Linked DNA regions of Caenorhabditis elegans. The protein of the gene in region 1 purifies or fractionates together with the protein of each later gene. This does not show direct contact. Each region holds a gene or a part of one and is shown in the gene's direction. Other genes may lie near its edges.

The links.
Region 2: the proteins of pugs-8 (region 1) and taco-1 fractionate together in Caenorhabditis elegans (co-fractionation; one large-scale study listed by BioGRID). This does not show direct contact.
Region 3: the proteins of pugs-8 (region 1) and K10G4.3 fractionate together in Caenorhabditis elegans (co-fractionation; one large-scale study listed by BioGRID). This does not show direct contact.
Region 4: the proteins of pugs-8 (region 1) and epg-5 fractionate together in Caenorhabditis elegans (co-fractionation; one large-scale study listed by BioGRID). This does not show direct contact.

The regions. Positions count from the first base shown.
Region 1 is NC_003281.10:11,362,955-11,369,924, forward strand, and holds pugs-8 (Cystatin domain-containing protein), read left to right. Parts: upstream 1-3,799; 5' UTR 3,800-3,835; coding exon 3,836-3,919; intron 3,920-5,064; coding exon 5,065-5,277; intron 5,278-5,329; coding exon 5,330-5,395; 3' UTR 5,396-5,479; downstream 5,480-6,970. Other genes in the region: T28D6.4 (Nephrocystin 3-like N-terminal domain-containing protein), read left to right, coding at 1-436, 948-1,417, 1,964-2,419, 2,781-3,080; tba-7 (Tubulin alpha chain), read right to left, coding at 5,480-5,609, 6,396-6,910.
Region 2 is NC_003281.10:280,784-291,449, forward strand, and holds taco-1 (Transcriptional regulatory protein), read left to right. Parts: upstream 1-3,333; coding exon 3,334-3,543; intron 3,544-4,195; coding exon 4,196-4,324; intron 4,325-4,481; coding exon 4,482-4,715; intron 4,716-6,625; coding exon 6,626-6,859; intron 6,860-8,367; coding exon 8,368-8,418; 3' UTR 8,419-8,680; downstream 8,681-10,666. Other genes in the region: xpd-1 (General transcription and DNA repair factor IIH helicase subunit XPD), read left to right, coding at 672-777, 1,851-2,090; Y50D7A.13 (Peptidase metallopeptidase domain-containing protein), read right to left, coding at 8,681-8,756.
Region 3 is NC_003283.11:17,261,820-17,267,889, reverse strand, and holds K10G4.3 (uncharacterized protein), read left to right. Parts: upstream 1-2,934; 5' UTR 2,935-2,936; coding exon 2,937-3,089; intron 3,090-3,142; coding exon 3,143-3,313; intron 3,314-3,539; coding exon 3,540-3,824; downstream 3,825-6,070.
Region 4 is NC_003280.10:6,604,822-6,612,503, reverse strand, and holds the start of epg-5 (Ectopic P granules protein 5), read left to right. Parts: upstream 1-3,138; 5' UTR 3,139-3,147; coding exon 3,148-3,261; intron 3,262-3,311; coding exon 3,312-3,373; intron 3,374-3,422; coding exon 3,423-3,522; intron 3,523-3,568; coding exon 3,569-3,826; intron 3,827-3,872; coding exon 3,873-4,476; intron 4,477-4,526; coding exon 4,527-4,660; intron 4,661-4,711; coding exon 4,712-5,099; intron 5,100-5,154; coding exon 5,155-5,213; intron 5,214-5,262; coding exon 5,263-5,339; intron 5,340-5,385; coding exon 5,386-5,678; intron 5,679-5,725; coding exon 5,726-5,850; intron 5,851-5,893; coding exon 5,894-6,618; intron 6,619-6,665; coding exon 6,666-7,682.

The DNA.
Region 1 (6,970 bases):
ATGTGCAGATTTCTGGCCGATCACTTCCCCCATCTCGTCGCTTCCTCCTGCTGCGGAGAATGGAATGCATTGAGAAGTGCCGCCTGTTACGGACAACTCGAGATCCTTCACCTTCTTCTAGAGAAAGGTGTCGACGTTGATGAATGTGGTCACAGTGATCGAACGGCTCTCCGAGCAGCCGCCTGGTCTGGCCAGCTCGCCGCAGTTCAGCTTCTCCTGCAAACCGGCGCTGAAGTTGATCGGAGGGATTCTGAGCAGCGAACCGCACTGATGGCAGCAGCATTCATGTGTCATAAGGATGTGGTGTCAGTTATTATTCAGTATGGAGCTGATGTAAATGCCATCGACAAATCCGGAGCCACCGCGTTGCACTTGAATCTTTCAAATGGCTCGAAACAAGAAGAAAACTCTGAAACAACAAAATTGCTGTTAGAACGTAAGGATTTTTAGCCTCGTCCCATTTTTTCTTTTTCAAAAAAAAATTTGACGGGAATTTCTAATTTTTAAAGATTTTTTCTATCGGGAATCAACAATTGTTTTTGGAAAAAGAGAAGTTCAAATTTTTGAGATACTATAGCGGAAAATTGAAATTTGTGGTCAAAAATTTTCCGGAAAATTATAATTTTTTAACAAAATTTTTGGCGGGGAATTCAAATTTTTTGAGAAAAAAATTGGGGGAAATTCAAATTTACGGAGAAAAATTTTCCTGAAAATTCCAGTATTTAAACATAATTTTTGGCGAGGAATTCCAATTTTAGAGAACATATTTGGGGGAAATCCAATTTTTCCCAGAACAAGTTTTGCGAAAAGTTCAAATCATTGAGATATTTTAGCGGATAATTGAAATTTTTTGGTCCAAAATTTTTATAGGAAATTTGGGAGTTTTCAGGATGTTCCAAAAACTTAAAAAAAAAATATTTTTTACAATCTACAATAAAATCTTACAGACAACGCGGACTGTAAAATTGAAGATGCCAACGGCCGCGTGGCCCTGCACCTGGCCGCCTACCACGGGGACCCCTGCCTCCAATTGATTCTTGAGAAGCACCCCATAGTTGACGTCATGGATAATATGGGACAAACTCCATTGATGTTAGCTGCTAGTCAAGGTCAATTGGAAGCTGTTCAGTTTTTGACAAAAACCGCCAAAGCAGACGTAGATGCTATCGATAACAATGGGCGAACTGCTCTTCAATGGGCGGCTATTAATGGTCACCCGGAGGTGGTAGAGTTCTTGTGCTCAGTTGGATCGGATGAGGGACATAAGGATAATGATGGTGCAGTGGCTCTACACTATGCTGTTACCCATGATCATGTGGAGCTGGTAAAGCATTTGACGAATCAGCATACGGTAGAGGCAAAGGATCGATATGGACAACATCCGATGATGATTGCGGCGGCTAATGGAAATTTGAAGGTAGGAAAATCGAATAAAATTGTTTATAGAAAATTCAAAAATTTAAAAAAAATTGCAATTTTGGGGGCCAAGTTCAAAATATTAAAAAAAAAATTAAAATCAAAGTTCCAGAAAACTTGTAAAAATTAGGTTCGAAAAAGTTTTTTATTTTTCGAATTTATGCTCGATAAAACGATAAAATGCTGCAATTTATTTTCAAAAAAAAACACATTCTAAAATTAATCCAAAAAATTTGGCGCGGAATTAAAAACTATAATAAAACTTGTTGCAAAAATTTGAACATGTTAAAAAATATTCTAAGAAATTCAAAAAATTGTTTATAGCTTTCGAAAGCACGTGGTGTCAGGCTGTCCCATTACGGTTTGATCTACAAAAAGGCGGGAATTTTTCGCCCTAAAAATGTGACGTCAGCACGTTCTTAACCATGCGAAATCAGTTGAGAACTCTGCGTCTCGTCTCCCGCATTTTTTTGTAGATCTACGTAGATCAAGCCGAAATAAGGCCTCTTGCTCTGTAAGGTCACCAAACAACAATGTATCTTTTCAGGTCCTGGAGTACCTAATGGGGATCTCCGACATAATCAACCAACCTGACCACGAAGGTCGCACTGCCTTATCCCTCGCCTCAATGGCAGCTCATACCTCAATAATCGACTTGATATCCCCTCGCATCACTGATTGGAGCCAACGGGACCACGATGGCACCCCACTAGCCCACACCCTAATCCTCTCCAATCTGATCTTCGTGGCCGAGGTTTATCTAGGCCATGGTGCCAACTCATCCGACTCGGATGCTCATGGCCGAACTTGTGTACACGTGGTCGCTTCGACGAATGACGTGGCGGCAGCGAAAATGCTGAAGAGGATTGGTGGAGTAAATTTTGAGGCAGTTGATAGAGGTGGGCGTACAGCTTTGATGACTGCAGTTTGGGCGAAACACGTGGCGATTTCGGTGTTCTTGTTGGATAGTTGTGGAGTTGACCCGAATCGAACGGATCGACAGGTATGTTAACTCACTAGTCCTACAGTACCCTAAACTACAGTAGTCTTAACCTACTGGCCGTAGTTCTACAGTAACCCTAAGATATCGTAACCCATAAACTATAGTTTGCTTAGCCTAAAACAATCATGTCCAACTAAATAAGGATCATGTATACAATACCAGTATCCTACCATATTATCACAGAGTCGCTAGAGTATAGTATCCTCTGCTTACTGCAATCCTTCAGTACCCCTGAGCTACAGTAGCCATTATTGTATAACAGAACTGCTAGAAAATAGTAACCTTAATCCTACAGTAGCCTAAGGTACTGTTACCAACAGTAAACCTATCATTCTAGATAAGATACAGTACCAATTTCCAGGGTGCCACTGCTCTCTCCATTGCCGCGCAAATCGGCGACCGCGATCTTGTCAACCTGCTCCTCAAATTTGGCGCCGAACCAGAGATCAAAGACTCTATGGGACGAACCGCCATGGATGTGGCCATGATTTCTGGCAACGAGCCAATAGTTTCTCTGCTCCAATCTGTAAATGGCTCATCCGGATCATCTGGAATTGGCTCAAGTGTCCCCAATAGCCCACTCGACGCCAGTAAACAGCGTATCCTGAAAGCCACATCATCACTGAGAATGCCTCATAGAATTGATAATAATAATCATTGATCTCATATTTTCTTTGCTGAAAAAATAGTTTTTTTTTGGAATTTGATCTTTATTAACCGGTGCTTTTTTGTATGTCATTAACTCGGTCACAGTTTTTTTTCGAATTTTTACCCAAAATCTTTCTCATATTGTCAGTATTATTATTGAAAATTAATAATAAACATTCACTGAAAGCTAAAAAAAAAGTAACATTTTCAATTCTCGCAATTTGCCGATTTGCCGGAAATTTCAATTTCGGCAATTTGTCGAAAATTTCAATTCCCACAATTTGCCGCTTGGCCGGAAATTTTCAATTCTGGCAATTTGCCGGTTTGCCGTTCCTCAACAAGAAACCTGACTCTATCCAATTTCCTCCAAAACTACAACCAACGGTCACTCCCATTAAGAAACCCCATTCAGACCGTTAGTTTCAATAAACCTGCGACCAAAAAATGAAAAACCGTAACCGGTTTCCACCAAATGGAGCTCATCTGAAGCTAATTAACTGGAAGAAAAAAAAATTGAAAAGAGACAGCGTTAAAGACAACGTTCTAATATGATAAGAGACAGATATGAGCTAGTTTAGAACACTGGCGCCAGCAGCAGCAACCGGAGGAGAAGGAAGAGAAAAGTTTCCGTTTTTTTCTTGTCTTCAAATTAAACGGTTTCGATCTTTCGTCTGACCTGACCTGAAAGAAGGGTCTTGTCCATATAAAAAGGAACTTTTGATGGCCAAATGCGCTCAGTTTTTTGTGTCAGTCCAAAACTACTTAAAAATGTTCAAGATCCTCCTAGCCCTTTGCATTGTTGGATGCTCATTTGCTGCACCAATTCATGGAGATGTTGACGATGAGCTTTTGGTGAGAATTTGATTTTTTTTTGGTTTTTTTTTCGTAACATTTGCCCACCGCCACCATTTATAGGTCATAGAAGTTTGCTTAGTTTTGCTTTGAACACTTATAACTTCCTGAATAATCACGATACCAAAGAATTGTCAACTGAAAAAATGTAGCAAATTTTATTTTCTACAATTTTCTAGTTGACAACTTTTTTGTACCTTATTTTCCTGTTTAGATAGACACGCTAGAAGTTTGCTGACTGTAAGAGGAACGCGTATAGCTTGGAAAATTCATAGGCTATGAAAAAGATGTCAACTAACAAATAGTGGTGCTGTGAGGGTACGGTAGGATTACTGTAGGAGTGATGTATGGGTACTGTAGGGGTACTGTAGGATAGCTGTAGGATTACTGTAGTGGTACTGTAGGAGCAATGTAGGGTGTTCATAGAATTACTGTAGGATTACTGTAGTTGTACTCTGAGGAGGGGGGTACGGTAGGAGTGCTGTAGGATTACTGTAGGAAAACTGTAGGACTAAATGTAGGAGTACGGTGGGGGAGTAGGGGAACTGTAGGATCACTTTTGGAGCAATGCAGGGTGGCCATAGGATTACTGTAGGGTTACTGTAGGATTACAGTAATAGTACTGTAGAAATACTGTAGGAGTACTTTACGGGTAGTGCAGGGTTACTGTAGGATTTTTGTAGGGCTACTGTAGGGGCTACTGTAGGATTACAGTAATTATTGTGTAGGGATACTGTAATAGTACTGTAGAAATACTGTAAGAGTACTGTAGGATTAATGCAGAGGCACTGTAGGGAGAGCTAGTGGTACTGTAGTGGTGCTACAAGATTACTGTAGTTGTACTGTAGGGTTACTGTATTTTTGGTTTTTTTTTGAAATAAGTCTCAGAATTTTTTTTGGCTGGCGGTTCCTTAAAACGGGTATACCTTGGCGAGTTCGTAAGCCATCAAAAAGTTGCCAGCGGGTAAAATGTAGCAAATTTCATTTTCCACCACTTTTTAGTTGACAACTTTTTGGTATTTCGCTCTCCCGCTTAGGTACAAGCTTTTGAAATTTGCAGACTGAAAGCTAACTTACCCCTGTTACAATTTAAAAATTCTTGTAACTCGGAAAATAAGCAAACTTTAAAAATTTGTCTTCTACAGGGCCTCGCTTGGGAAGCCGCCGCCACCAGCGTCAACAACGGCAACCGCGGGAAGTTCTGGGTACCCATCGAGATCCAGAGCTCGGATAAAAATGGAGCAGTAACAAATCTCGTCGTGGTATTCCAAGAGTCGTGGTGCAGTGTTGAGGAGGGAAATGATCTCGAGGATGTGTGCGAATCTATGTGCCCAGTATATTATGGAGGAGCTAAGGCTGTGAGTTTTATTTTTATGGAGAGCTCTTAGATTTTAAGCTTCGGAATTTCAGACATATCGTGTCACGGCTACCGAATCCAACGGGGGAAGTGATTTCGAATCTGTTAGAATTGAATAGAAAATGCTTTAATCTATCTTTTGTCAGTTAATTTGTACATAATCAATAATCACCTAATAGCTTTCCAATAAAAAGTTTTATTTTTCAATACTCATCATCCCCATTATCATTAGCATCGGAATCCGCGCCAACCTCCTCATAATCCTTCTCCAAAGCAGCCAGATCTTCACGTGCCTCGGAGAACTCGCCTTCCTCCATTCCCTCGCCAACGTACCTGGAACAAAGAGGTGTTTTGACAAAGAGGTGTTTCGACATTTTACGGGTCATGCACTGGGCTGCTGGGCAGCCGACATTAAATAGAAGCGCGTATCTCAGCTTTGGTCTTGTAAAACCCTATGTAACTCCACGATGAGCAGAGCTATCAAAAAGTTGCAAACTTGAGAAATATTTAGAATTTAATTTTCTTCATTTTGCTAGTTGACAACTTTTTGCTAACTCTATTCTGAGCTGTTAATTGCGGTTTGAAGTTGAGGCATCACTCCCACAGCTCCCTCATGCTTTCTCTAACTTCAAACTTGCTTAACTCGACAGTGAAAAACGTTATCAAAAAATGGTCAACTAACAAAATGTTTAAAATTAAATTTTCTCTATTTTGCTAGTTAACAACTTTTTGATAACTTTATTCTCAGCTGAGTTATAAACGTTTGAAGTTACGGCAACACTTCCGCAGTTTTGTCTAACTTCAAACTTGGTTAACTCCGCGGTGAAGAAAGTTATCAAAAAAATTTCAATTAAGAAAATATTTAAAATTAAATTTTCTATAATTTGCTAGTTGACAACATTTTGCTAATTCTATTCTCAGCTGTGTTATGATAGTTTGAAGTTGAGGCAACACTTCCGCAGTTTTGTCTAACTTCAAACTTGGTTAACTCAGCGGTGAAGAACGCTATCAAAAAATTGTCAACTAACAAAATATTTAAAATTAAATTTTCTATATTTTGCTAGTTGACAACATTTTGCTAATTCTATTCTTAGCTGAACTATGAACGTTTGAACTCACCAATGCACAAAAGCTCTCTTGGCATACATCAAATCAAACTTATAGTCCAATCTCTGCCACGCCTCCGCAATTGCCGTAGTATTCGACAACATACATACCGCCCGTGGAACCTTTGCCATATCCCCACCCGGGATTACTGTAGGCGGCTGATAGTTCAATCCAACTTTAAACCCAGTCGGACACCAGTCCACAAACTGCACGGATCTCTGAGTTTTGATCGATTTTATCGCAGCCGACACATCCTTCGGCACAACGTCTCCACGATACAGTAAACATACAGCCATATACTTCCCGTGCTTCGGGTCACATTTTACCATTTGATTTGAGGCTTCAAAGCAGCTTTTCGTTATCTCATCAACTGATAGGAACTCGTGGTGGGCTGAAGAGATCAGTGGATTGTAGGCGACAAGGGGGAAGTGGATTCTCGGGTAGGGGACCAGATTGGTTTGAAATTCGTTTAAATCCACGTTGAGAGCACCGTCAAAGCGTAGAGATGCCGTGATGGAGGAGACTACCTGGAAATTTTTTTATTATTTTCATAAAAAATTCGTTTTTTTAGTTAAAAGTACTGTGGG
Region 2 (10,666 bases), about 11 Mb from region 1:
TAAAATCGCGAATTTTCACCTAAAATTCAATTTCCAAGAACTTTCCGGGTTACTGTAGCACCAAAAGTACGCAAACACCGTCTAGCGCACCAAATTTTACGACAATATGCAGAAAATCCCTATAAATCGAGTTTCCGGAATTAAAAATCACGAGAAACTCGAATTTTGTGCATTTTCAGTCAATTTGGAAGTTTATGGGTTACTGTAGCTCCAAAAGTACGCAAACACCGTCTAGCACACCAAATTTTACGACAATATGCAGAAAATCCCTATAAATCGAGTTTCCGGAATTAAAAATCACGAGAAACTCGAATTATGTGCATTTTCAGTCAATTTGGAAGTTTATGGGTTACTGTAGCTCCAAAAGTACGCAAACACCGTCTAGCACACCAAATTTTACGACAATATGCAGAAAATCCCTATAAATCGAGTTTCCGGAATTAAAAATCACGAGAAACTCGAATTTTGTGCATTTTCAGTCAATTTGGAAGTTTATGGGTTACTGTAGCTCCAAAAGTACGCAAACACCGACTACCGTATCCCAGCGCGCACCAGATTTCACGACAAAATTTGCAAAAAAAAAGCTTCAAAACAAATGAAATTTTAACATTTTTTGGAGTTTTTAGTGAAAAAATTGCCTAAAAACTACCAAAACTTGATGATTTTTCCAGAGAAAATGATTTTCTGACATTTGACGCAATGCGACACACTGCTCAATGTATGGGACGAGCTCTCCGTTCGAAAACTGATTACGGATTGATGGTATTTGCTGATAAGGTATAAAATAAAGAGATTTATCGATTTCCCGAAAAAAAATCAGAAAAATCAGAAAATTCTCGATTAAAAAATCACGAAATTTAACCAGAAAAAGTTGTTTGAAAATTTTTTGGCAATTTTTCAACAAAAAATGTGTCCATTTTGTGGGCGTGGCATGAGAATTTGAAAAAAAAGCTAAATATTGATTTTTTTCACTGGAAAATCAGAACACTTTGAAATAATTTGCACAAAATTCACTAAAAAACCTGAAAAGCTAAGCAAGTTTTTTTTCCATTTTAGCTGCAAAAAATATTCAAAAAAATTTTTGGATTTTGGTAGAAAAATTCCACGATTTTTGTTAAAAACATATCGAAAGTTCACTAATGTTCATAGTTTCAAACTGATTTTTTTCAGCTTGAAATGCGCTGAAATTCTGATGTACCATGTGGCAAATGTGCTATGTCGGCGATTTTTGTGCGGAAATATCAAATTTTAGCATTAAAATATGCAAAAATTTGGAATTTTCACCCGAAATTGCTCACCGGGAGCACATTTGACCACTTTCCCGGGGAACCTCTGCCCAAATTTTCATTTTTTTTTTGGACGGAAAATTCGGAAAATGATTTGAATTGTAGAGATACTCTGAAAAAATCTGAAATTGGCTGAAAAAAATAGCGGAAAATTGAAGAAATACGAAGAATTTCACCAGCTGCCCAATTTTCTGAAATTTTTATTAGAAATCTGCCAAAAATCGCAAAAAATATAGTTTTTCGTCCCCAAAATTGAAAATTTTCGCTTAAAAATGCGAAATTATTTTCAAAATTCAAAATTTTGAAGCTTTGAAAAGTGACCATATAATGGGCGTGGCTTGTGATGCTCCGCCCATTTTTCTAGAGAATTTGAAAAATATTTTCCGTGGCAAATGTGTTATGTCGGTGATTTTTGTGTGGAAATTTCAAATTTTAGCATAAAAATATGCAAAAATTTGGAATTTTCACCCGAAATTGCTCACAGAGAGCACATTTGACCACTTTCCCGGGGAACCTCTGCCCAAATTTTCCATGTTTCCCCTCAAAACTTGTAATTTTCTTCAGAGATTCTCCCGAAACGACAAACGTGGAAAATTGCCCCGCTGGATGCAGGAATACCTGGAGCCAGCTTGTACCAATCTGAGCATTGACGAAGCGGCACAAGTTGCCAGGCGTTGGCTCACACTAATGGCTCAGCCATTCGAAAAGGAGCATCAGCTGGGTGTTTCGTTGTTGGATAAGGAAATGGTTCACGATTCGCAGATTATGAAGAGATTTGAACGTGTTGTTGAATATGTTGATTAGATTTTTTTTTTGATTTTTGAGCTATTTTTCATGGAAAATTTGTAAAAATTTGAGAAAAAACCGTGAAAAATGAGTGAAAAACAAAAAAAATCGCTAAAAATTGATATTTAAGCCAATTTTCAGTGAAATTTCTCAAAAAAAATCAAATTTTTGGGTTACTGTAGCCCCAATAGTACGTAAACACTAAAATTCCCGTTCTTCAGTAAATTTTCGCAAAAATTTAAGTTTTTTGGGTTACTGTAGCTCCAAGAGTACGCAAACACTGTTATGGGCGTTTTTCAGTGAAATTTCTCAAAAATCCGAATATTTTCGGGTTACTGTAGCTCCAAGAGTATGCAAACACTGTTATGGGCGTTTTTCAGTGAAATTTCTCAAAAAAAAATCAAATTTTTGGGTTACTGTAGCCCCAATAGTACGTAAACACTAAAATTCCCGTTCTTCAGTAAATTTTCGCAAAAATTTAAGTTTTTTGGGTTACTGTAGCTCCAAGAGTACGCAAACACTGTTATGGGCGTTTTTCAGTGAAATTTCTCAAAAATCCGAATATTTTCGGGTTACTGTAGCTCCAAGAGTACGCAAACACTGTTATGGGCGTTTTTCAGTGAAATTTCTCAAAAATTCGAATATTTTAGGGTTACTGTAGCCCCAAAAGTACGCAAACACTGAAATGCGCAATTTTCAGTGAAATTTCTCAAAATTTTCGAATTATTTGGGTTACTGTAGCCACAAAATTACGCAAACACTACAATGTCCGTTTTTCAGTGAATTTTCTCAAAAATTCGAATATTTTTGGGTTACTGTAGCCCCAAAAGTACGCAAACACTGAAATGTGGAATTTTCAGCGAAATTTCTGAATTTTGACCGTAAAATTGAATTTCTTAATTTAAAATTAATTTAAAATTTAAAATTGCTAATTTTCTAGATTTTTCACTGGAAAATGCTCTTTTTTTTTCTCATTTTTTCCATGGAAAATCTCAATTTTTCCCCGATTTTTTATTAATTTTCCCTCGTATTTTACCATATTTTACCAGTTTTCCTCCATTAATTTATTAATTTTTTTTTGAAAATGTTCTCAATTGTATCTCATAATTTTCGTTCTCCTTTTGAAAAAAATCACCGGTTTTTCAATTTTTTTTCCGATTTTCAGCCAATTTTCGGTTTAAAATGGTAGTTTTTACCTGAAAATATCGATTTTTCCGGGATTTTTCCCTTGAAATTTCAAAATTCCCCCAATTTTTTGCAGATGTTCTCCCCGCTCCGTCGGCTCACCACAACGGGTCTCCAGCTCCAGAAGCTTCAGAAATTGCAGAAGCTCCAACAATTTCAGCCGGCGAGAGCTGTGCATTTGACGGTTTTTCAGCAGAAGGGGCACTCGAAATGGCAGAATATTAAGGCGGTGAAGGGAAAAAATGATTTGATTCGGTCGAAGGCAACCAACTTTTTACTCAGAAAGGTAGGTTTTCGGGTTACTGTAGGACCAAAAGTACGCAAACACCGAGAAAAGCGAATTTTCGATTAAAAACCATGAATATCCAGCGATTTTTAGTACGGTAGCACCAAAAGTACACGAACACTGACTGCCGTACCCCAATACACCAGATCTCACGGAAAAATGCAGAAAATCCAAATAATTGGGTTACTGTAGACCCGAATGTACGCAAACACGGACTACCGTAACCCAGTACACCAGATCTTACGGAAAAAAACAGAAAATCCGAAAAATTTAGGTTACTGTAGCCACAAAAGTACGCAAACACCAAGATTTTACGATTTTTTTGCAGAAAAATTGACAATTCCCATCAGATTTCTCAAAAATACAAGATTTTGGGTTACTGTAGCAACAAAAGTACGCAAACACGGACTACCGTAACCCTGTACACCACACGTTACGACAAATTGCAGAAAATCCATAAATTTGGGTTACTGTAGCCTCAAGAGTACGCAAACACAGACTACCGTACCCAATACACCACACCTTACGAAAAAAAGCCGAAAATTTCAAAAAATTAGGTTTTCGGCGTAAAAAGTACGAAAAAATGGAGTTTAAATACGAAAAATTGAAATTTTGCTCAGAAATTCCTAGAAAAAGCGATTTTTTTTTCCAGGTCCGTGGAGCAGTATCTCGTGGCGGGTTCGACATGAAGCTCAATCGAGAACTCGCTGATTTGGAGTCCGAATTCAGAGCACAAGGACTTCCACTGGACACGTTGAAGAACTTTTTGCAAAAAATGAAGGTATAATAGTGAAAAAATGAGGAAAAATGATGAAAAATCGCAGAAAATGCAATTTTTTTCGCAAAAAAGAGTGAAAAAACTTGATTTTTAACCTAAAAACCGCAAAATTTTGTCTATTTTTCCACAAAAACTCCAAAAATCCCCCGAATTTTTGCAGGACAAGCCCGAAGTAGAATACTCGTTCGATATCATTGGACCATCTGGAATATTCCTTATCGTAACCGCCGAAACTTCGAACAAAAAAGCGTTTGAAAACGATTTACGGAAGTATTTCAACAAGTTGGGCGGTTTCCGGTTGGCAGCTGATGGTGGTGTTCGTAGTTGGTTCGAGGAGAAGGGTGTTGTGCATGTTGACACGAAAAAAGGCGGAAAAATTCTGAATATTGAAGAAGTACGGGCGATTTTATGCTGAAATTCTGTTTTTTCCTGAAAATTTGGAGCTTAACGGCGTTTTTTTTGGAGTTTCTAGGTCAATTTTGAGGTTTTTTGCGTTACTGTAGCTCTAGAAGTACGTAAACACTAACCAGGCACCGAATCTTACGACAAATTGCAGAAAATCTAAGAAAATTGAAATGTTTTATCCAACTAGGTAGAAACGTACTTAATAGTGAAGAATTTGGGTTTCTAGCTCAATTTTAAAAAAGTCCGGGTTACGGTAGCCCCGAAAGTACGCAAACACCGATTAGGCACAGAATCTTACGAGAAATTGCAGAATTTATCTGAATTTTAATTTTAATCGGCTAATTCTTACCTGAAAGCATTTTTATCTAAGGTTTTAGCTTAATTTTGAGGTTTCTTGGGTTACTGTAGCTCTAGAAGTACGCAAACACCGATTGGGCACTGATTCTTACGACAAATTGCGGAGTTTGCTCAAATTTTGAATAATGCTCTTTTTTCTCCTTCCTGGTAGCATTTTTATCTGATATTTCAGCTCAATTTGAAATACCCGGGTTACTGTAGCGTCAGAAATACGCAAACACCGGCTTGGATACGACAAATTGCAGAATTTATATGAATTTCAATTTTAATCGGCAAATTTCTGCCTGGATTCCTTTTTATCGGAGTTCTAGCTCAATTTTGAGATTTTTCGGGTTACTGTAGCGCCAGAAATACGCAAACACCGACTAGGCGCCTAATCTTACGACAAATTGCGAATTTTTTTGTAATTTTGACTTACGCGGCTTAATTCAACCTGAAACCGTTTTTGTCTGAGGTTTTTGCTGAATTTTGAGGTTTATTGGGTTACTGTAGCTCCAGAAGTACGCAAACACCGATAAGGCACCGAATCTTACGACAAATTGCAGAATTTATTTGAATTTTAACTTTAATCGACTACGTTCTGCCTAAGATAATTTCTATCTGAGTTCTAGCTAAATTTCGAAATTATCCGGGTTACTGTAGCTCTAGAAGCACGCAAACACCGACTAGGCATCATATTTTACGACAAATGACAGAAAATCTCGCAAAACGAGGTTTCCAGAGTGAAAAATGACAAGAAACACGATTTTTTCTATAAGAATGCGCAGTTTTTCAGCTGAAACTAGATTTTTCTCGAAAAAATCTTTAAAAACTTAATTTTTGGGTCAAATTCGCTGAAAATGCGCGATTTTCTCAATAAAAATTGGCAAAGAATGAAAAAAATTCAGTTTTTCACGTAGAAATTGAGAATTTTCGTTCAGAAACGGGTTACTGTACCGTCAAAAGTACGCAAAACCGACTACCGTACCCCAATACAATACACCAAATCTCACGGAAAAATGCAGAAAATTTCTAAAAATCGGAGGTTTTCGGCTTAAAAGAACTAAAAAAACGGAAAAATCTCAGTTTTAGACTGAAAACTCAAAATTTGTGACTGAAAATTGATTTTTCGAACGGTGATTTTGAGGTTTTTTGGGTTACTGTAGCTCTAGAAGTACGCAAACACTGACCAGGCACCGAATCTTACGACAAATTGCAGAAAATCTAAGAAAATTGAAATGTTTTATCCAACTAGGTAGAAACGTACTTAATAGTGAAGAATTTGGGTTTCTAGCTGAATTTTGAGGTTTATTGGGTTACTGTAGCTCTAGACGTGCAAACACCGATTAGGCATCATATTTTACGACAAATGACAGAAAATCTCTAGAAATCGGCTAGCTGGGGTGAAAAATAACGAGAAACACGATTTTTCGACTGAAAATTGATTTTTCGAACGTAAAATTTATTTTAAAACAGCTCCCGGCGTGATTTTCACCAGGAAAATCGGTTTTTAACTCGAAAATTAGTGAAATTTTGGATTTTTCATCGATTTTTGTGTTTCAGATGGAAGAAATCGGTCTGGAATTCGATGCTGAAGAGGTTTTACTGATTGAAGAGGACTCAACGAAGAAATTCGAACTAATTTGTGATGCAAAATCACTTCAAACTCTTGAAAACGGCCTCGGAAAGGGTGGATTCTCGATTTTACAGTCGGAAATTGAATTCCGACCTGTTCATCCAATTGATTGTCCTGAAGCTGAGGAGCCAAAGGTTCAGAAGTTGTATGAAATGCTTCAGGTACTGGAAAAACTAAAAATTCCGGGAAAAACTCGAGAAAAAACTAAGATTTTTGGACAAAAAATCAAAAAAAAAATTGAAAAAACCGAGAAAAATTGCAGAGAAAGTTGTAGAAAATTCCGTAATTTTTTAAAAAATTCAGAAAATTTAAAAACTTAAAAAAATATATTAGACAATTTTTTTATTCCAGAAAATTCAAAAAAATATTCCGGAAATTTTCAAAGAATTCAGAAATTTTAAAAAAATTTGAAATTTCAAGAAATTCCACAAATTTCTTTAAAAAATCCAAGAAATTCTAAAATATTTCAAAAATTCCAAAAAATTACAAAAAATTGCAGAAAATTTCTAAAAAATTCGAAAATGTGTTGAAAAGAATGTCAAAAATGAGAAAATTCAAAAAATATCTCAACAAATTCGAAATTTTCCAAAAAATTCCAAAAAGATTTCAAAAAATTTCAGATATTTCTAAAATGCATCAGAAAATGTTTTTTTTAATCAGAAAATTCAGGAATTTTCCAAAAAAATTCTTTAAAAATTCCATATATTTTCAAGAAATTTGAGAAAATTGTAACAAATTCCAGGAAATTCCTAAAAAAAATGTTTGAAAATAAAAAAAAAAGTTCCAGACAATTTCAAAACTTTTTCAAAAATTCCAGAAAAATTAATAAAAATACAGAAAATTTAGAAAAATTCTGGAAATTCCAAAATTTTTCGAAAGATTTTTGGAATTCTATGGTAATTTTTTGAAATTTTCCAATTTTTGACATTTTTTCAATACATTTTCAATTTTTTTCTGAATGTTCTGAAATTTCAGAACATTCCTAAAAAATGTCTGAAATTCTGAAAAGTTCAAACATTCAAAAATATGTTCGACAATGTTTTTTCAATTCCAGAAAAAATTTCTAAAAAGAATCAGAAATTTTTCCAAAAAATATAGGAAATCTCAAGAAATTCCAGAAATTTTCTGAAAAATCCGCTAATTTTCGCAAAAATTCCAAAAAATATCAAAAAATTCCATGAAATTTCAAAAAATTCTAGAAATTTTTTTTTTCAAGAAGTTCAGAAAAAATTTCTAAAAAATTCCAGAAAATTTCCGTAAAAAATCTAAAAAATTTCAAGAAAATTCGAATTTTTTTCATTCCAGAAAATGTTTAAAAATTCCAGAAAATTTCAAAAATATCAAAAAATTCCATGAAATTTCAAAAAATTCTAGAAATTTTTTTTTTCAAGAAGTTCAGAAAAAATTTCTAAAAAATTCCAGAAAATTTCCGTAAAAAATCTAAAAAATTTCAAGAAAATTCGAATTTTTTTCATTCCAGAAAATGTTTAAAAATTCCAGAAAATTTCAAAAATATCAAAAAATTCAAAAATGAGAAATTTTCAATAAATTCCAAGAAATTACAAAAAATTCCATAAAATTTCAAAAAACTTCAACAGTATATCAGAAATTTTCAAGAAATCCAGAATATTTCGAAAATATTTGAGAAAATTTGTATTTTTTATTTCAGGAGGACGAACAAGTACGCCAAATTTTCGACAACATCACACCAGACGAGTAGCCGATTTTTTTCAATTTTTCATTGAAAAAAGCCGGAAAAGCGGAAAATTTCCATTGTTTTTTCTCTATTTTTAGTCGTTTTCCCATCAGAATTCCATTTTTTAAATCTTTTATTTTATTTTATTTATCAGTTCAATAGATAGGATTCCCGCATTTCTTGTTGTTTTATTGAGTTTTTATTGATTTTTTAAAATTGAATTCCACCTGTTTTTTTTGTTAGTATAAAGCTATAATTAAAAAAAAAAAACTGAAATGTCCATATTTTATTGTCCATACAGCTTCCGAATTGCTCGAATATCGTATTTTGACAATTGAATTTTTCCGATTTTTGCTGGTTTTCTGTAATTTTATACTTTTTTTTGGGATTTTTGGGGTAATTCTTTAGAAAAATTTGATTTTTTGCACCAAACTTTTTGAAAAAAGAAAAACTTTCTAGAAAATCTGACAGCAAATTTCAAATTCTGGCATTTTTGAGCTGAAAACTCTGAAAAATTCCATCGAAAATACGAAATTTTTGGAAAAATCCCAAAAGGTCAGCTTTTTTGGGCTGAAAATAATTTTTTTTAAATAAAATTTGAATTCAAAAATATCCGGCCGAAAATCGATAATTGCCAGGTTTTGCAATAATACCAAATTTTTCCCAAAAAATGGTACTGTAACTCTTTTCAGCGGTGGACGGCAATTTTATTTTACGGAAAATCGGCAAGAATTGACGATTTTCGATTCCGGCAACTTGCCGATTTGCCAGAAATTTTTGATTCCGGCAATTTGCCGATTTGCCAGAAATTTTCATTTTTGGCAATTTGCATATTTGCCGGAAATTTTCATTTTCGCCAAATTTGCCGATTTGTCGGAAATTTTCGATTCCGGCAATTTGCAGATTTGCCAGCAATTTTCGATTCCGGTAATTACCGATTTGCCGGATAATTTAATTCCCTGCAAAATGCTGATTTGCCAGAAGTTTTGATATTCGGCAACTTGCCGATTTGACGGAAATGTTCATTTTCGGAAAATTCGCCGATTTGCCAGATATTTTAGTTTTCGGCAAATTGCTGATTTACCAGAAATTTTCATTTTCGGCAAATTACCGATTTGCCAGCAATTTTCGATTCCGGCAATTTGCAGATTTGCCGGAAGTTTAAAATTCCGCCAATTTGTCGATTTGCCGGAAAGTTTTAATTCCGGCAATTTTCCGATTTGCCCGAAATTTTCAATTCCGCCAATTTGTCGATTTGCCGGAAATTTTCAATTTCACCAATTTGCCGATTTGCCAGAAATTGTCAATTCCGGCAAGTTACCAATTCGCCGGAAATTTTCAATTCAGGCAATATGCCGATTTGTCGGAAATTTTGAATCTCCGCAATTTGCCGATTTGCCGGAAATTTTCAATTCCGGCAATTTGTCGATTTGCCGGAAAGTTCTAATTCCGGCAATTTTCCGATTTGCCCGAAATTTTCAATTCCGCCAATTTGCCGATTTGCCGGAAATTTTCAATTCCGCCAATTTGCCGATTTGCCGGAAGTTTAAAATTCCGCCAATTTGTCGATTTGCCGGAAAGTTTTAATTCCGGCAATTTTCCGATTTGCCCGAAATTTTCAATTCCGCCAATTTGTCGATTTGCCGGAAATTTTCAATTTCACCAATTTGCCGATTTGCCAGAAATTGTCAATTCCGGCAAGTTACCAATTCGCCGGAAATTTTCAATTCAGGCAATATGCCGATTTGTCGGAAATTTTGAATTCCGGCAATTTGCCGATTTGCCGGAAATTTTCAATTCCGGCAATTTGTCGATTTGCCGGAAAGTTCTAATTCCGGCAATTTTCCGATTTGCCCGAAATTTTCAATTCCGCCAATTTGTCGATTTGCCGGAAAGTTCTAATTCCGGCAACTTGCCGATTTGCCAGAAATTTTTGATTCCGGCAATTTGCCGATTTGCCAGAAATTTTCATTTTTGGCAATTTGCATATTTGCCGGAAATTTTCATTTTCGCCAAATTTGCCGATTTGTCGGAAATTTTCGATTCCGGCAATTTGCAGATTTGCCAGCAATTTTCGATTCCGGTAATTACCGATTTGCCGGATAATTTAATTCCCTGCAAAATGCTGATTTGCCAGAAGTTTTGATATTCGGCAACTTGCCGATTTGACGGAAATGTTCATTTTCGGAAAATTCGCCGATTTGCCAGATATTTTAGTTTTCGGCAAATTGCTGATTTACCAGAAATTTTCATTTTCGGCAAATTACCGATT
Region 3 (6,070 bases), on another chromosome or scaffold:
CCGGTATCTCGGTTCAAAATTTGCCGTGAAAATTCTCATGAGATAAATCTGATAGAGCTCAAGTTAAAAAAAAGAGAGCTATTTATCTTTATTCCTTTGTGTTTTTCCGAATTCCTACAGTCTAAATGTATACGAGATTGTGTGAACTATGGTCTTATCAGTAGTTTGAAAAATCAGAATTCGAGAATTTTCTCTAGTTTTTTAATGAACTCGGGGAAAAATCAATATTTCCCTTCACCGACAAATTGCATACGCTGAATAAATGTTTGAAGTCTTGTTTGATTTTGTTTCGACTGAGGAAACTGATAACAGAGCAACTACCATATTTCGAAATATTTTGGTTTAAAACTTGTTGGTTAGACTGCTATCATCATTAGTTTTATACAATTCAATTTATCCTCGCAGTCCGCTAAAACATCCTTTTTGCATTAAACTCAAATCATTTGCTTCATAAGGTAAATTTCAAAATTTTCGTTTTGAAGTAGAGTCCTTTAGTTTTTTGCTTCAAATTATCAAATGTGGGTCGCAATGTCCGAATATAAATGTTAAAAAATTATAGAACGCTCATAAATTTTTAATTATTTTTTTTTATTTTGCAACAAAAAAAATTAGAAATGACTGAAATTTTCGACTTATTTTAAATTGCAGCGCAAACGTGTATAACCTTTCGTTTTTGCGTTTTCTGACAAAATTCATTAGTTTCTTTTTCTGATTTTTCCTTAAAAAATTGGTTGTCTAACGAAAATGCCTCTTCTACGCACTTCTACACTGTTTACCTTTTATATTTTATTACTTTTAACATCATAATGTGACATCATAATGTGAAATTTTCGTTTTGAAGTAGAGTCCTTTAGTTTTTTGCTTCAAATTATCAAATGTGGGTCGCAATGTCCGAATATAAATGTTAAAAAATTATAGAACGCTCATAAATTTTTAATTATTTTTTTTTATTTTGCAACAAAAAAAATTAGAAATGACTGAAATTTTCGACTTATTTTAAATTGCAGCGCAAACGTGTATAACCTTTCGTTTTTGCGTTTTCTGACAAAATTCATTAGTTTCTTTTTCTGATTTTTCCTTAAAAAATTGGTTGTCTAACGAAAATGCCTCTTCTACGCACTTCTACACTGTTTACCTTTTATATTTTATTACTTTTAACATCATAATGTGACATCATAATGTGAAATTTTCGTTTTGAAGTAGAGTCCTTTAGTTTTTTGCTTCAAATTATCAAATGTGGGTCGCAATGTCCGAATATAAATGTTAAAAAATTATAGAACGCTCATAAATTTTTAATTATTTTTTTTTATTTTGCAACAAAAAAAATTAGAAATGACTGAAATTTTCGACTTATTTTAAATTGCAGCGCAAACGTGTATAACCTTTCGTTTTTGCGTTTTCTGACAAAATTCATTAGTTTCTTTTTCTGATTTTTCCTTAAAAAATTGGTTGTCTAACGAAAATGCCTCTTCTACGCACTTCTACACTGTTTACCTTTTATATTTTATTACTTTTAACATCATAATGTGACATCATAATGTGAAATTTTCGTTTTGAAGTAGAGTCCTTTAGTTTTTTGCTTCAAATTATCAAATGTGGGTCGCAATGTCCGAATATAAATGTTAAAAAATTATAGAACGCTCATAAATTTTTAATTATTTTTTTTTATTTTGCAACAAAAAAAATTAGAAATGACTGAAATTTTCGACTTATTTTAAATTGCAGCGCAAACGTGTATAACCTTTCGTTTTTGCGTTTTCTGACAAAATTCATTAGTTTCTTTTTCTGATTTTTCCTTAAAAAATTGGTTGTCTAACGAAAATGCCTCTTCTACGCACTTCTACACTGTTTACCTTTTATATTTTATTACTTTTAACATCATAATGTGAAATTTTCGTTTTGAAGTAGAGTCCTTTAGTTTTTTGCTTCAAATTATCAAATGTGGGTCGCAATGTCCGAATATAAATGTTAAAAAATTATAGAACGCTCATAAATTTTTAATTATTTTTTTTTATTTTGCAACAAAAAAAATTAGAAATGACTGAAATTTTCGACTTATTTTAAATTGCAGCGCAAACGTGTATAACCTTTCGTTTTTGCGTTTTCTGACAAAATTCATTAGTTTCTTTTTCTGATTTTTCCTTAAAAAATTGGTTGTCTAACGAAAATGCCTCTTCTACGCACTTCTACACTGTTTACCTTTTATATTTTATTACTTTTAACATCATAATGTGACATCATAATGTGAAATTTTCGTTTTGAAGTAGAGTCCTTTAGTTTTTTGCTTCAAATTATCAAATGTGGGTCGCAATGTCCGAATATAAATGTTAAAAAATTATAGAACGCTCATAAATTTTTAATTATTTTTTTTTATTTTGCAACAAAAAAAATTAGAAATGACTGAAATTTTCGACTTATTTTAAATTGCAGCGCAAACGTGTATAACCTTTCGTTTTTGCGTTTTCTGACAAAATTCATTAGTTTCTTTTTCTGATTTTTCCTTAAAAAATTGGTTGTCTAACGAAAATGCCTCTTCTACGCACTTCTACACTGTTTACCTTTTATATTTTATTACTTTTAACATCATAATGTGACATCATAATGTGAAATTTTCGTTTTGAAGTAGAGTCCTTTAGTTTTTTGCTTCAAATTATCAAATGTGGGTCGCAATGTCCGAATATAAATGTTAAAAAATTATAGAACGCTCATAAATTTTTAATTATTTTTTTTTATTTTGCAACAAAAAAAATTAGAAATGACTGAAATTTTCGACTTATTTTAAATTGCAGCGCAAACGTGTATAACCTTTCGTTTTTGCGTTTTCTGACAAAATTCATTAGTTTCTTTTTCTGATTTTTCCCAGCGTGCTTTTTTTCAATGATATCGATAATTACCTTATTGCGAAATGAAGTTTTTGAAATTTTTTGATATTTCAGATGCATTTACGCGACTTGGATATCTTGATAAAATTAACAAAGCATTGGATGACTGAGGAACTAACCGATCATATGAGCTACAACAGAGCCATCGAATGGGATAAGCTCATTATTAAACTTGAAAAAGTTCCAAAAAAACTGTCTCTTAATTCTGTAAGTTGTTTTCTTACGATTTGCTCGTTATAAAGATTTAACTTTTCTTTCAGAAAAAGTATTTAGCAATCCTTGTTGATGAATTCTGCATGGATACGCCAAGATACGGAATTAGCCCCTGGTTTGCTCACTACATCCTATGCTATTGCAAACATAATCTGGACGACGCTCGCGAAATATTAATCGCCAATAAGTGGAAATTGGAAAATATTGAAGAATCTTATGTGAGTTTTTATAATTTTATTATGTGCGAAAGGAAAAATGGGTTGAATACTGGATCGGTTTTACTGTTAGACCTACCAATCGGCGCTCAAAAAAAAAAACGAAAAAAACATATTTTTTTTTGAACGCACCGTTTTTATTTTAAAAATACTCCCTTTCGCATTTGAAACAGACGTTTCTCCACTTTTGATTCTTGCAATTTTCGCAAAATTAATGTGATTTTTTCAGGAAAAAATTTCCGAATTCCAAAGACAACTAGACTTGAATCGTAACAACCAAAACAATGACAAAATTTATGAAGCCATTAAAAAAGAAAAAGAAAAGATCAGGAAGAATGTCTATGAAAGAAATGAACAGTTGCGAGACTTTAAGAACATTCCATACGGATTCCAGCCAACCTTAGAACTTCACAACCTTATGCAGGACCAGATTGAGGATTTCATCGAAGAATATCTTGGACAGTACTTGGAAAAACTTGGAAAACTTGGACTTGGAAAAAAATACAAAGGTTAGTTGCATTTATAAACATATGAAATAATTTCAATATTAAAAATTAAAGTCTGGTCGTAAATAAATCTAAAAAGGGTGCGCAATGAGTAATAGTTTCTGTTAAAAGATTAAGAATTTCCTGGGTTTGAAGTTTTAGAAATTCAAGCTTACTAAACGTTTCTAATTTCGTACTTTCTTCTTATTCTTAATGTCTTAAGAGTTTTAATTTTAGTTTTTGATTCGTTGAAATAACCTTTTAGTAAAAAAATATAAGTAAACTTTAGACAGCTCTGATAGAACATTTTATTGACCAAAAGCGACCTAGGTCTCACGATGCTCAAAACGCAAAAAAAAAAACGAAACGTGTCTCAAGAATCAATTATTTGTCGCGTAAAGCCTTTTGATTATGTAATACTTACAGAAATTACAACCATAGTTGGCAAAGGCAGTAGCTCACTAAACCAAGTTCCAGTAATAAAGGAAAAAGTGATGGCGATCTATGGAAGAAGAGTCCGCGAACACTCCAGCAACGGAGGCATACTTTTCTTCACAATTTAATACTTAAAAATCACTTTCAACCTTTAAATATTCATTGCTAAATCAAAACTTAACGTTTCTCCAATTTTACCGACTCCAATTTTACCATAACGATAAAAAAAATTAAAATTTTGAACCAATAATAATTAAACAGTCGAAATTAAACAACAAAAAAAACAAAATTTCGAAACATCCCCTAACTTGTATAAGCCCCACGTTCCCAGTCGCCTTATTTTCATTTTATTGTACGTCGCCTCTTCTCGTAAACTCTTTCTTTGTTTCACTTCCCCACCCAAGTTGAACCGCTGAGGATTAAATCTGAGCTAGTTTAGTTATTGCCTATTCAAATTTGATTGATCAATGCAATTTTTGTTCCCGTTGTTTAGTTGTATTGTTAAATATTAATTTTTATGTTTTTAATTTAAATTACTTTGTTTTTATTCACCATCATAATTTTATCGCCCACTCTTTAAGTTTTCAGCACTTTTTAGGTTTCTTCTTTTTTATATTTCCTGGCGAGTTCCCAGTGGGGATATCCGTATTTATTGTCAAAGTTTCCGTCTACAAGCACTTTTAAATTCTCAATTCGCTTGTCACCTCATTTCGTGTTGCACGAAAAAAGGTTGGCGTATTCCTTGTTTCCTTTGCTGGAACGTTTATCGTGTACTTGCTTGAAAATTTTGTCAATACTTTTCATATTCTTCTCTATGTTATATTTGATTTTGTTTCTACTTTTTTTTGCTTTGCATTAGCACTTTTGTGTGCAACTTCTCTTTATATTTTAAGATTTTGTCCAAATAAACATTATTTAAATTGAAATATTGTGTTCTCGTGTTTATTTTCAGAATTTTTCGCATTTGTCAAGAGAATATACAGACAAGAAGCAAACGTAATACAGGCACGTGACAAGCGTGAAACATGCACATGGTAGGTCTGACGCAGGTATGCCGGTTAAAGGTTCCTGGTATTATCTGAACCATATTACAATTTGTATTTAAACATTTTCCGATATAAAAAGTCATACAGATACATAGATTGGAATATATATTTTGTGTTTTGCTAATAATCTAAAAACCTTTGCTCATTACGTTTGTTTTGATGACAAGCATGATGATGCATATTTTTGAAATACCTTGTCTGAAAAAACATATGTAAAAATGCTTTCGGTGAAACTGAACGTATAACTGAACGTCCAATTTCATATAAAACGAACAACATACTTCTAAAATGCCGAACGGCGACTCAGAATATTATGACTACGTTGGTTTTGAGGATTTAGATGGAAAAGAAAAGATGTTTTGGACTTCTATCATGAATTTTGCCAGGTTTGTACTTTTTTTATCCCAAACCCCAAATTAAAGTCAATTTCTTGCAGCAGGTACAGTTTATACCTTGATCATGCCAGTCTTGTAATTGCGACATTTGGATTATTCGGCAATATTTTCCATTTAGCAGTTCTCACTTGAAAATCGATGAGAAACTCGTCAGTTACAGTATTCTTAATCGGAATCGCAATTTGTGACTTTTTTCGTATGACTTCCACAGTTGTCTCACTTTCTAAAATGTGTTATGATGAATTTTCAACGCTGGAAATTTCAGACAAATGGTAAATTTTGGAAACTAATCACTTTTAAACTCTTGTAGAGGATTTCAGTGTTCCGCCACAATCATATCTTGAAATGTCAATTTTTCTAGCCTTGAGTTCATTAGAAATGCTTTCCTCAGACTTGTCA
Region 4 (7,682 bases), on another chromosome or scaffold:
TATATTTGGAAATCAAAAAATACAACAGTTTAATTTTCTACAGTTTTTGAAATATATAATAAAAATCAATAGAAAACGATCCAACTAATAATTAGAAGTTGCGCGTTTTCTTTTTGCTTTTTCTCAAACTCTACGTATTTTTTGTTAACTCTTTTAACAAACCTTTGGGCCATTTTAGGAAAATTAATGACAAATTCCCACAAGTTGCACCCAGATTCAAATACCTAATGACTTTTTGGCCCGAGAATGATATTATAAATTTACCGCATTCACCAAGAGTTTAGATTATGCAATTTTTACAAGCTAAAGGTTTCTATCACAATTCTTGAATTCATGTAGGGTAATTATAAGAAGTGATTCTCTGTAATGGTATACATTCCTTTAATAAAGCTACCGAACAAGAAAATATAAATGTTCCTCTGGAATCCAATACTGTGACACATGGTTCTACTGCTATAAGGTATTCAATGCCTCAGCAAAACATCATAGGTTACTGTAACACGGTTTGAGTCCACTGGGCCAATGAACAAGTATTTCAACGCGGCAAGCAGAAAAAAACATCTAAAAGACATTGGAGTACGGTATGCCAACGGGCGCTCTCAATTTCTCAAAAGCAACATTTAGTTGATTGTTGCGGGCGAACCGCTCACCTCGAAATGTGGCGAGTAATGTGATTCAATGGCTGAAATAGTGAGCGATTGGGCGAGACGGGGTGACACATAGTGTGTGTTCGAATGAAGATGTTGGAAGATTGTGAAGAGGGACGGGATTCTGATTGAATATTACACCATCTCAAGAAAAGGTTTCATTCTTTTCTTTTTCCAGAGGCACAGATAGAGAGCCAATTAAGACGAATCGATTCCCATTTATCATTATTAAGTGGTACTGTGAAGTGTCGATGCAATCATTAGTTCATGAGATCATCACATTTAGAAGAAATACAATTGGGTGATAATTATAAAGAAACTGATTAGAAGGACACTTTTTCAGGTAATATTAATTATCAATTTTACGTCTGGGAATTAGAACTCGAATCGTTTCATAAACATTAAAAAAAAAGAACATTGCTCTATTAAGAAATACATCATCATCTTCCATATGATCGCAACATTCTAATCTTTCCTTTCTCGTTCCAATTTTTTGTCAAAGGGACAATTCGCCGTCCCGACCAAATCTTACACTCACAAAGTGCCGCTTCCTCACGAAAAAATGCGCGAACGTCTCTGTCGATTAATCATTGCTGAATAAACTTTGTTTGGGTTGTCTTGTACGGACACACTTTCAGGCGGTAGATCATATCCTCAAAGAAAGCGTGAATTGTAGATGCCAGGTTTTTGATGAACAAATAAAAATTTATGAATTCCTTCGGATGGGGTCTTTGATGAACATAAATTAAAAGGGAGAAGCATGCTGAAATGAAAGTTACCATTTTTACAAAATTGCTTCAAAATTAGAACTGGATGTATTATTTAAACAAGCTTCCGGTGTTTGAAGAATTATTCATATTATTTAAATTTTAAATTAACTAGTTCAGGTTTTTTAATCCTTTTATATAATTGTCAGAAACTGTCAGGTTGCCCCACGTTCCAAATTTGACTCAAGGAAGGTAAAAAGACACTTGAATCTGGTACTAGAGTCGTTTTTGTGCCTATGTGAAAGACTATTCTTGGAGCTCTTCTTTCAAACATTTCGTGCATTTCTGCCAGAATTGTTCTGAATTCTGAAATCATTATGTACAAACATCTTTATCAAAATATTATCTTCATGTGATACGAAGCATGTCAAACTTATCTCCTGTAAAACGTTATCCAACTGTAGTCCAAACCATTTACCTACAATACAGTAACCAATTTCTTCAGACTAAACGCTTTCTAATGGTTTGCTCATTGATCGTCTCTCATTTGAATTGATATCCTGTTCAATTCAGATTCAAAATCTCATTAATCTCATGTCCGGATGATGTGGCAGATAAGCGAGGAAATGTTTCAATTGCGCAAGGACAAATCAACGATAAACTCATGTGTGAGTGTGCGAATTGAACGAAGAAATTGGTTTGGCAATCGTAGAAATTCACACTAACTGTCTATTAATTACCTGTCAAAAGTGTCTGGTTTCTCTCACGTTTTGTGTACTTTCTCGTAGATAAACCGTTTAGAGATTTGAAACATTCATTCACACTCCTAAAACTAACCAATGGACATTAAAAAATAAAGTTGCGATTTGGGAAAAAGGGATTTGCTTTTGGAAACTACAAAAATATTGCTCCGTGACATGATCCAAAAATATATAAATTGGAATGCTCCACGTAGTTTTTAAATATTAATGATAAACCTTATTTTTAATTTCAGCATTAATTTCAGAGATTGGCAAAAGGTGAGAGGCATTATTAAAAATAGCCTTCAAATGTTATTAGGTTTTCACAAAAGTAAACCATGTTGTTTCTAGATTTCGAAATTCATAAGATCTCGTTTGTTTCAAATCTACTATTCACGAAAACATAACGTATGTTGCAGACCATTCCCAGAAGGAAAAAACTATGAAAAAGAAAATATGTTTTTCTTTCGATTGTTTCCGAAATAAAATCCATTTTCAATCTAAGTTCCTGTTATAAATCATGTAGACATTGACGTTGAAATAGCAAAATGCTTGCACATCGTTTTCTTATCATTTCTCTTCTCGAAGCATTCTAACTATAAATTTATTTGTTTTTCAGTGTCAATGTCGTTATATTAAAAAAAAAATCATGGGACATTTTGTAAAAACTTTTTCAAAATAATAAATGTTCTCATCGAATCTATACTATAGTTATCAACTGTTCTCAATCGGTAGAGTGCTCGGGCTCCCGATCGATTTCACAAAAATGGTTTGGTCCGCAAACACGACGACGGACATTGCGTATTTGTCGTCATTTTCCCTCTTCACGTGCTGTGTTCAGTTCAATTCGGGTTTTTATTTGCCGTCAGACCACTTTTTTTCGTGACTCATACTAAAAAATGCAGAAATAGAGCAATTTATCCTGCTATACAGATTTTTTATATTTTCTAGTTGAAATCCTCGACTATTGAATTAATTTGTTGACTTCGTACTGTACTTGTCGCATTTCTTTTTATAAGAAAAATTAATAAAATATATTAATTTAGTTTCAAAATGGCGGAATTGGTTCGTCCAAAAAAGCCAAAACATCGAGAGCGAGCACAAAGTGATTATACACCCCCAATACCAGATCGTCCTGCAATTGTGAATGGTTTGAGACTCCCTGCGGTAATAACAATACCACTAAACTTTTTGTTTCATATTGATTTTATTTTCAGGCTCCATCACATACTATTGAGGATTTACCAGAAAGATCAGCATCACCGGAACCTGAAGATCAGTAAGTGGTAAAATAACGATTGAACTGAAAAATATGTATACGTTTCCAGGGATATAAGCTTGACCGAAGATTCCTTGAAACGCGAAGAAGCATCTGAACCTTTAAAAGATGTGAGAAGTAGTCCAGTTCGACCAGCCCCTCCACCACCAGTCAGTTGAAATTCTAAAACTCAAAATATGAATCATTTGTTTTCAGCGTGTTTCTCAAGAAAGAGAAGCTCCACCAATTCCTCCAAGAAGTATGATCTTTCCACGAAGTACCAGCATGGTTGCTGAATCTAGAAAAGAATCAACTACAGCGGTAGCACCAAAACGGAGTGTAGCAGTTGCTTCATATCCAGCTGTCCCCGAACTAGCCGAACTTCCATCCTATACTGATGCGCTTCAACATCCGCAAGTGTATCCTTCAATAAATGGAGGACTTCAGCATTCACACTCAGCTACTGCCATTCCAGTAAGTATTTAATCTGAAACCTTATTATTTTTCTTTATTTTTGTAGGAAAAAACACGATTTTCTGCACCAGTTGAGAGAGAGCGTGTACGAGAGGGAGAAGCTCCTCCGATGTATCCATCTATCAAAACTTACGAACGGAATGAACATGGTTTAATGACTGAAGAAAACTTGGTCACATTCTACCATAATCCCCTTTATGAGCACGCCGAAATGTTTGTTGATCAGTTTATTAAAACTGAGGAAGTACCAACTCAATCTGGATCTTTATTTCCACTCTTAGCTAGACTAAGAACAGTATGTGACCTAATGACTGTTAGTGAAGTGAAAGGAAAAGAGAATACAGAAGAATTGCAAAAATGTTTACGAGAATGTTGGGTTCAACAATCTCTTTCTGTTGATGCAAAAGGAAAATGTGGAGACAACAATGATGGTACAGGTAGAGCATCGTATTTTTCTTTTGAACTGCAACAGGCAGTACTGGATCAAATGAAGAAACTTCTCTCTACGAATCGAAGCAATCTGATGGATCATTCAGTTTGTGAAGAGACTTCGTTTAGATCAATTGCTCTACAAATTCAATGGCAGGTTATTATTATCAATAATAATTTCATGGCTGAAAACGGGTTGTCTACAAATTGTCCACCCAGTTGTGAGTTTATTATTTCAACAGCTTACTAGTTGAATATGAATGTATTTCAGTAATTGCCAGTGTACCTATGACACCGGGTAGAGTTGCTCTTCGCACTGCTCTTTCAGACATATTCTATCATCTTCGGTATCCAAGACTTTCAAAAAGATTTATAGATACACTTGTTGGATGGATCAAAGAATTGGTAAATCATTTCAAGTTCGTAATGTAACGTTTATGTAAAAAAATGTTTCAGACATGTGTGTTGAATATGCGTCAATCATGCGACGACGGTATATTCCTCCTTTGCCACCTTTTACGTCTTCCATCTCCAATTGATCAATGGGCTTCTCCATTTGTACAAACCTTCATTCAATCACAATCTGCTCCAAAGTTGAAGCTTGATTATTGTGTTGCACTTCTCACTCATCTCCTCAACCCAATCAAAGCTCGAGAATCTTTCCTTCGCCATGTTGCTCAATCTGAAAAAGAGGAGTCAACTTGGGAGATTCTTGCAGATGACGATGACGGTGAAGCAAATGAGTTTTCATTTGTCACAATCAACGAATCAGATCTAACTGCATTCCTTGATCAATTTCCGATTTCTGAGCTTTATTCAATTGCTTATCTTGCTTTCACTTCATGTAAGTTTCAAGTTGCAATTGTAAACTTAGACCGTTCAAATTTTCAAATTTTCAGACTCTGACAAAGGATCTCAATTTACTGCTATGATTGCATTCCAGCTCTTGCTCATGAAAGTAAGTATAGTAATATCTAAATTTATGATAGAAACATTGAATTTTTAAGATTCTTGATAATGGTTTGACAAGTTATTCTCAACCCGGATATAAAATGTTCTGTAAGCAAATTGGAATAAGTCTCAAGTGAGTTTGTTATCCTTTGGCTCCTAGATAATGTGTTTTCTTTCAGGCACAGCGTTCGGGAACTTTGCTCCAATTGGCGACTTATTCGAGATCAAGTTCGACCAGGCGAAGAGCATCATCTTCAGAAAGAAGTAGATCGAGTTGTACTTCTAGCTCTAAATTACTTGATTCATCAAGACACCCTTGGATTGTTCCAATTTGTGGTGTCGTTACCATATGCTGTGGTTTCCGAAGAATGTAGAAGCCGATGTGAATATGCTTTAAGATCGAATAAGAAAATGTCTATTCACGAGATTTATGATACACCAATTTGTGAAGTACGCGCCAGGATTAGTAGTCGTCAGTTTCTTTAGAGTAAACCAAAATAATAAACATATTAATTTCAGAAGGAATTTCAAAACGAATAGGTGCGCTTGGAGCTCAGGATTCAGAATTTCTTGTCAACTCATTGGCCTCAATTGGATCTTATTCAAATTCGGATGTTTCGCAACTTTTGAAAGAGCTTATTGATGTGAGATTGAACATTTTTAACTAAAAACTTTACATTTTTGCAGGTTTGCTTTTGTGATGAAGACACTCGAGATGATTTGTATAAATGTGGTGGTGAAGCAATTGGACAAATTCTTATAAAAAGACCTGAAACATTGCATCAATTGCTCACTATTATTGATCGAAATCTTCAGCATATGGATTCCTATGCAATCAATGTTTTATCATCATCACGACTTTTCGAATGTCGATTAACGGAACCAATGATAAGCATCATAGGAAAATGGCTCATTAATAATCCTCCAGAACACGGAGCAAATCGTCTTGCTCGGCGAGTTCTTTCTGGATTGCATTGGGGATTGGCTGTTGATGGTCATAACTTGTGGATTGATGTAGATGTGCACACAATTGCAGCAGATACTGTGGTCAAGGCTCATTCTGTTCATTGTTCACGTTCGAATAGTATGATATCAAAGTCTATAAATAAGATATCAAAACTCGCTTCAAAAGTTGGAGACGCCGAATCGTTGTTCCAGCAGTTTTGTTGGGACCTGCTCGTAAAGCTCAAACTTCCAACGATACCTTCCTCATTGGTTCAAAATGATCTAACAGCACATTATGTGAGGATAGTTCAAAATTGTGAAGATGATGTGGTTGTGTACTTGGAAAAAGGAGTTCCTCTTCTATCGGATTTAGTAACATCTGGAAGTTCAGTGGCTTCTGTTGTTTTACTTTCAAGACTTATTGCTCAACATTATCAGAATGTGAATTTGATGGCTGCTGATAAAAAGTAATTTTATGCAAATTTAAAATCTAATCGTTTGACTTAATTTTCAGCTTCATGACAACATTCGAACGTCTTCTACACATTGATCAACTTCCATATGCAGTTCAATGGCTCAGTGGACCATCATCGACGCCGACTCCTATCGTGAAGCTTATATGTTCAGCAATTTCCTACTATTCTGCAAAGTTACCTCCTAGAGATTATCTGCGTGCTTGGATCACACTACTTTGTGCTGCAAGAACTGGCTGGAATGAGGATGCAGTTACATATCAAATAGTGGGAACTATTGCTCGTATTGCATTTGTTAATGATACCCACAAACTCTACGAAATAACTGGTATCATATTTCAAGCTTATCAACAGCAACTCGCAGCTGAAAAGAACCAATCAAAGGGTATTATGTCTATGTTTTCATCCGACAATACAGTATCCCCACTTATTCCTGATTCGATGCTATCGATTTCTCCGTTTGCATCGTATGTTATGCTTCGAGTCGAACAAAAGTCATTCAACACTTTTTATGGACATTTTTTCGAAACTCTTACGAAAAAGGATAAGTATACACTGGATAATGCTGTGAAGAAAGCATCATCCAAATGCTCAATTACTGTACCTGTGGAGAGGCTTGCTATTTTCCGATGGGCAAAATTAGTAACTGTATGCAACGATCATCAACTATTGCCAATTCTCTTACAACAACTTTCGGGTTCAGCATATCGATTGAGAAAGGCTAATAATTTGAATTTATGCTATGCCCGACGTCTAATTGATGATCCACAAATGCAAGATGTGATGGCTGCTTGTCGAAAAGCAATCGAAGAATCAACGATTGAAACAAAAGGATTGTCTAAAGCTGTAGTAGGATGGTTGTTCACAAAGCATGAGGTGACGAGAACTGGATTCGATTTTTCTGTATTTGACCTGGACTACCTGCTTCAACTCATTCTTGCTGGTGATAAGAACATGTGGCTAGATTTTGTAAATATGCCATACTTCAATTCTGAGGAGTTTTCGGAAAGAAAGTTGTATTCTGTGACTTGCCAACTGTCACCTAAAAATCGTGAATC